Styela clava: one gene and its partner. The protein of the gene in region 1 binds, or shares a complex with, the protein of each later gene. Links are inferred from orthologs where the notes say so. Each region holds a gene or a part of one and is shown in the gene's direction. Other genes may lie near its edges.

What was found. The genes of interacting proteins can lie anywhere in the genome.
Region 2: actin-related protein 2/3 complex subunit 3-like (region 1) and actin-related protein 2/3 complex subunit 4 share a complex: the UniProt entries of both Caenorhabditis elegans proteins name them as parts of the arp2/3 complex. The link is inferred for Styela clava from reciprocal best matches to the Caenorhabditis elegans genes arx-5 and arx-6.

Annotation. Positions count from the first base shown.
Region 1 is NC_135257.1:4,072,188-4,075,434, forward strand, and holds actin-related protein 2/3 complex subunit 3-like, read left to right. Parts: upstream 1-1,185; 5' UTR 1,186-1,216; coding exon 1,217-1,759; 3' UTR 1,760-2,683; downstream 2,684-3,247. UniProt on the Caenorhabditis elegans protein: Functions as a component of the Arp2/3 complex which is involved in regulation of actin polymerization and together with an activating nucleation-promoting factor (NPF) mediates the formation of branched actin networks.
Region 2 is NC_135255.1:6,168,722-6,172,483, reverse strand, and holds the start of actin-related protein 2/3 complex subunit 4, read left to right. Parts: upstream 1-895; 5' UTR 896-1,031; coding exon 1,032-1,538; 3' UTR 1,539-3,762. UniProt on the Caenorhabditis elegans protein: Functions as actin-binding component of the Arp2/3 complex which is involved in regulation of actin polymerization and together with an activating nucleation-promoting factor (NPF) mediates the formation of branched actin networks.

The DNA of each region.
Region 1 (3,247 bases):
TGCAGCAATCTCTAAACAAATTGCTTCTGCTTTATGAAACAGCAAAAGTAAACAGAAGACTGTCATGGTGTAAGTGTGGAGCAATAAATCGCATTCCACATCCTATAGTCAAATAGAGCTGTCTGGTTGTGTATGCAAGCAAGGATATGACGATTTCTATTCTAGGGTAGTCGTTCAAGTATTCAGGAATCATGAACACAGACTTCTCACCAGAGCCTCACTACCTCAAAGAATGGTAAAGGTGTTCAGTTATTTTAATATTTCACAGTAAATATTTCGACCCATAGTTGCTCACTGTAATAAGCGTTAGGAATACGCTCACCATCTTATCTGTGACTTTGTGATGATGACCCTGTGTTCACAGGTTGAAATCCTGAAGACCAGCGACTCCCAATAGGTGCGCCGATTTGCTAAGTGCTCTGCCTGTCCGCGAAAATTAATAGAATTGTGTTAAACATAACTAATATAGGATTGAATATTTTACATATTGTATTTTCATTGTTTCTTAGTTTGAATGCTGTGTATACTGGAATATGAATTCACCTTTCTATGTTGTTTACTTTCCTTACGTAGTAGTGTCTGCCTCTGTTGTTACGTAACAATAAAGGTGAATACTACTTGCTGCAATTTTTCGCGAGCTGCAGTTTAGTTATTTTCTGAACCGATTTTAGCGAACATGAGTGATTTTTATTTTCTGAACCAAGTTTAGCGAAAATGAACGATTTTTTAGTATTTCAAGGGAAAATCAGTCAAAGATGAGAAAAAGGAGTTGTCCTTTTGGCTTTATATATTAGGCCTACATGTTTACAAACTTTATAAGGCATAAGGTAAACATTAACGATCACAAAATTGAGTTTTATTTAAAGGCAGCAATTTTTTTCATGTAATTGCGCCGTGAGTTTTTTTCTTAATAATTTGGCTCCACCCCACAAACAAAAAGTATGGGAATCGCTGGCGTAGTTTAAGTGACAAACTGCAAGTTCATAACAAAGTGTGATTTCTGTTCACCCTATGTTTTTGCCCTCACACCTCTTTGCCTTAAATAATATTAATTGTATTGCTCACAAAGTATTTCATGAAATGTAGTTGGTGGATCTAAAAGTCATTTGAGCCAGAGTTCAATAATAAGAGTTTAATTTCTCTTGACTTTTTTCATTACAATATTCATACTAATAAATTAACACTTTCCTAATACTTTTCAACAGGAAATATCATTATGCCAGCTTATCACTCTAACCAAATACCTGCCAAGTCAATTGCTAATGTAGGTTTGCTGCCATTGCGATGTACCACAAAGTTTCGAGGACCTGCTCCTAGAGCCCCTCCAAATTCTGAACAAGATGTTATTGATGAAGCGCTGTATTTCTATCGTGCAAACATATTTTTTCGTAATTATGACATCAAAGGAGATGCAGATCGCACTTTGATCTATGTTACCCTGTATCTACAACAATGTTTGAAGAAATTGCAGAGAACCACTACCAAAGAACAAGGCAGGAAAGAGATGTACAGTCTTGCTGTGTCTCCTTTCGATATCCCAGGGGACCCAGGATTTCCTCTTAACGCAATGTATGCAAAGCCTCAATCTCGACAAGATGCGGATCAGATGAAGGCATACTTCCAGCAGATTCGACATGAAGCTGGAGAAAGGCTCCTGGATAAAGTTTATGATCCGAGCACTAACTCGCTAAATAAATGGTGGATCTGTTACTCCAAGCGACGCTTCATGGACAAAAGTTTGTCTGCACCTGGCCAATAATGTTGCTGTGGAACTTGGACAACAATTCACTATAATGCATATTCCAGAAATTAAAAAAATTATGTGTATGAACTGTATGGGCATACAATACATCACATGGTTATGTCCGAACAATGACTAAAAATTTGTTCCACTTGTATAATCATTATATCTATATTGTATCAGTGTTGAGTGCAAGCCGCTGAACATTTAGCCACAGGTTATCAGAGTTTCAATAACTTTTTAAAGCTAGTTACTGCACTGCCGATATATACCATGAGTCGAGTTGCAGTAATTTGCATTAGCAATAGTGAAGTGCTGAAATAAAGTTCACATTGTTTTGCGATGAACTAATGCTTTTTTGAAACCCAAACTGAGATTATCATTGTGTGACTTGCTTACTCATACTTCAGAAATGTTTTGATTCAATGACCCAAATTTATTTATTCAAAGCAGTGCCCCTTCATTTACCGCCTGTAGCATGCAAAAGATGTTGATACTCTTTTATTGCTGCTCTCAAATTTTGTAATTTGTTCATGTCATGATTATATGAAGTCATTTTATGTCAAAGGCATATGTAATGATAAATTGATACTTATATTCGTGGCAAATGCTGATTTTTCGGGGCTCCCGAAGTATGCGAACCAAGATGGCGGACATCGGAATGTAATATGTGTACTAGGTTATGGTTAGGCCATAATATTAGGTATAAATACTACGGGAGGCTCTTGGCTAGTCTTCGAACTGATAATAGGACTAAAATAAGAAAAATTGTAAAAAAAATTATCGCTTAACCCTAACCTGTTACCCATGTTACGTTACGATGTCCGCCATCTAGGTTCGCATACTTCGGGAGCACCGATTTTTCTAATGTTGATTTTTTTCAATACTCCACTTCAATATTGAAGATATATTAATCATGAATAAATAGTAAATGGCATTCCATCCACTATTTTATTATCATGAAATTCACAGAATTCAGTGACCCGAAATCTTATGAATGAAATTTTAGAACAGACTACAGATTGAATGGAAGGTTCGTATACGCCAAAGTTTTTTTTAAGTCTGGGTGACGTAGTCTAAATTTTTTTCAACAACGAGTCTAGAGTTGATTTTTTTTCATCCAGCAGTCTAGTCTTAAATTTTCCCCGTCCCCTGCTCGTTGCCGCTAAATATTCATTTTTTTCACTCCAGGCAATTATGATCCTTATTTTAAAGAACATAAACATGTGAATAAATAGATATAATTAAAATTAAAACAGTAAATACCGCAATTCCAGTAAAATCACAGCTAATTCGTTTATTACTCAAGATCCGTATGTCAGTGACAAAGCACAGATAGATGCAGGCGCGGTAAATATAAAGATGTAATATCGCAACGCTCCCAATGATAGAAGTGAAACAACACCAACAGCTTTGGATATGACAGCGGCCCTTAGGACTCAAAAAGGGGTATAAAATAAATTGGCTATAAAATGATTAGTATTGACGTTACAAATCAAGGTCATA
Region 2 (3,762 bases), on another chromosome or scaffold:
TAGATTCACAAATTTTGTTTACGATGTTATTCTTTTTTTCTAATATTATTGCCAGAATGGATTAGCTCTGCCTGTTATTATAATTCCACTGCCAAGTTTGGAATCAGTAAATAATATCTCAATGTCAGCTTCTGCTTATTTATTGCTGATTTGATAGCCACCACCGCCTAGAAATGATTGACTTGAAGATTTATATGGCATTCATTCTCAAGGTTGAAAATTTTTTTCAAATATTAAATTTTTTTGACTGAAATTTTATACTTATTGTCTGCTTGTTTTGCCATAGCTTTGTTTCTGTTTGCCAGGCAATAGTTTCTTTTGATACCTATATCTGAACTAATTTCATTAGTTGAATCATTACATTTGCATCACATGTTTTATGTTGTCAGTGTGTTGTCTGCCTTTGTAGTTTTATATCATGGAACAAATAGAGTATGATAGTCGACAATAGTATATTAGTTTTGTGTTACTTTAATTTTTTCAATATTTCGTTTAAATATTTTTGTTTGGAAACTGTACTTAGATTTGACAAACTTTGTGTAGAACCATATCAAATTCTTTATTAGTAATAAAAATATGGTATATTGACATGACAGATTTAACAGGGAAATATTCTCACTGATAAAATTGTAAGTCTATGGTGGGGATGTCACACTATTTTTATACCCACACTGTTATTGTAGATCATAAATTACGCTAAAATTAAGGTTTCTTTTCTGTCTTTGAACTTAATTTTCCATTTCTGTCTGTTTTTTGATATGAGTCTATATTTCAAGCATTCAAAGAAGTCTGATAATAACAGTTTCGTTGTGTTTTTTGGTGATTTTTTAGTCACAATTTTGTATGTTCATACCCTTGTACAATGTATTGCATTTATTTTTCAATTTGATTCCTAAAATATTACAACATGCTCGTCTTCGTTCAATTGTTCTAGTAAACCTCTACGTTTCATTACAGATTGTTGACAATCTAATATTAGAATATTGTTACAAATTTAGTGCAGTTTTCTATTATTAATAAGAAAAAAAAAGATGTCGACAACTCTCAAACCATACCTGAATGCTGTAAAGTCTACTTTAACAGCTGCTACGTGTCTCCAGAATTTCAATTCTCAAGTCGTGGAAAGGCATAATAAACCAGAAGTCGAAGTTCGTAGCAGTAAAGAATTGTTGATGACGCCGTTGGTCATTGCGAGGAACGAAAAAGAAAAAGTCATGATAGAAGCTTCAATCAATTCAATCCGCGTCAGCATCGCCATAAAACAAGCTGACGAATTGGAACAAATTCTTTGTAGCAAATTCACAAGGTTTATGATGATGAGAGCTGAAAGTTTCGATGTTCTACGTAGAAAACCAGTCGCTGGGTACGACATTAGTTTCTTGATTACTAATTTTCACACAGAGAAAATGTACAAGCATAAATTGGTTGATTTCGTCATTCACTTTATGGAAGAAATTGACAAAGAAATAAGCGAAATGAAATTAGCTGTCAACGCACGTGCCAGAATCTGTGCTGAAGAATTTTTAAAGAAGTTTTGAATATAAGATGCTGTAGAACTAGAATTTCAAGTACTCTTTGCATCTACAATGAATGAACTGGAAAATGCCTTGAAACGAAGGTTTTTTCTCTATGAAAGATGTTTTAAATTTATCATTATATTTATCCAGTATAATAATTATGATATAGTCCATAATATCCAAAGTGTTTAGTCAATATCAATTTTACGAGAATGATATTTTTTCTCCGATTTCAATGATTTGAATCACTGATTAAATTTGATGAAGCCAAATAAAGGTAAAACTTGATAACAAAAAATTTCAGTTTTCTCTTTAAATAAAATTCATATGCTTGGTATATTAATGCTTGATTCTCCCATGTCTAACTATATATATCAACGATCTTAAGAGTGGATAGGTTATTTTTATTACTATATGCAGAATATCTAATTGATGCTTATTGTTATAATTGAAATAACCAGCTGCTTATTTTATTATCTTGTCTGGTTGGCTCCCATGTTCTATATCCCCGCATATGAGCCGACCCCACAAAAACCGCTTTAAAATAGTGAATTTATAAAAATTCTCATATAAGCTGACCCTACAAATCGTAACACACCGTATGCACGTATAACAGTCAATGATGTTCAATTCGAATTTAATAATATTCAAATATCGGTATTCGCTACCTTCTAGTATCGTTTTGTGTTTATATTAATATTGAATATCGCACACACATTCTAGCGCCCCTGTCCACGTTTTAATTAAAAACATTTTTCGATTATTATATTTTATGTTTTATCGTAATCGAAGACAGCCCATTGTGACGCGACTAAATTACTGCCGACATGAAAGGATTTATATCAGCGCCGACTTGCAGTACTTATAACACGTCGTGGACGTTTGATTGAAAGTATTTTACAATTATTATAGAATATTTAACATATCTGGGCGACCACAGCAAATTGTGTGATAAATAATTGTTTCCATTGACAGTGACCGAGAATAACGGGAAGTTTTTGCATTTCCAGCCTATTAAATAGCTTCTAAATGTTATTTAGTATCTATCGCGGTTTTATTGTTAGCCTGGTGTTGCTAATGATAATATCGTTCAGTTTAAGTTTGCGGTATTTATTTATGAAATGTCATTTAGTTCAAGTGCGATCAGAGTTATGCGCTTATAAGCCGACACCTTAGTTTGACAACTTTTTTTTTAGTTTTGAACTCGGCTTATATGCGAGGATATATGGTAATTTGTTCTCATCTGACCAGGCCACCTCATTGAATTTTTCACAACGGTAGCCCTGACCTCTAATGCCAGCATTCATCCATATATACTGCACAGAGTTTTGGCGAAATGAATTGATTGTGGAAACAAAAACTTTAAATATATTTTCCAATTGAGATTCTGACTGACTTAATTTTTAGATTTCAGCTCTATTATGTTCCCCCTTTGTTTGTTTCAAGGCACTGCCTTAGGATCCTGTTGTTAAATATTAGGACCAAATATAGTTATGTTAACTTTTGTGGCCAGTATTTTCAGGGTAGGAATCGTTACCATAGTAACATATTATGCTATCATTTTTGGATGTTACATAACTGATATCAAACTTAATGTACTAGAAGGTATATTTTTGGAATTTTCAATATAGATAGGTAATCATTCGAATAATTTCTATTTGTTGTAAAAATTGACATAAAATTGGATTTTACAGAAAAATTACAAAATTTTAGGAAATCGTCTTTTTTTTTATGTCATTGATGGATCTTTGAAAAACATCTTTCTCAGATGCCATTAACTTTAAGCAAGCTGATGTAATCAATTTTAGTAAATGTTTCGAATTTATCGCAATTTTTTCAGGTACTAAAACCCCTGTTTTCCATGTTGATTAGGGAAACATCACCCATGTAACATCTATGACTGCATTACAATAGTTACATTCAAAATCTTGTTTTGCTGTTATATTAAATTCAATTAGTTGGAAAAAAGTTGGGAAATTTATTATTGGATATCAAATTCATATTCTACTATTAAATGGTAATAATGATATTATTCCATGATATACTGTATTCATTAATTATGTGATAAACAATCGTTCTTGCTCTTATTTCTTTTTTCATTGAAACTAGCTGATTAATTCATTGATGATTGAACAATGTCGTTTTTCATTGTAAATTTTTTGTGGCAACTTTAAAATTGTGCATTTTCAAAATTTATCTGTAATGCAAATTATCAACAAAGCAAATTGTTTAATGATGGATTGTG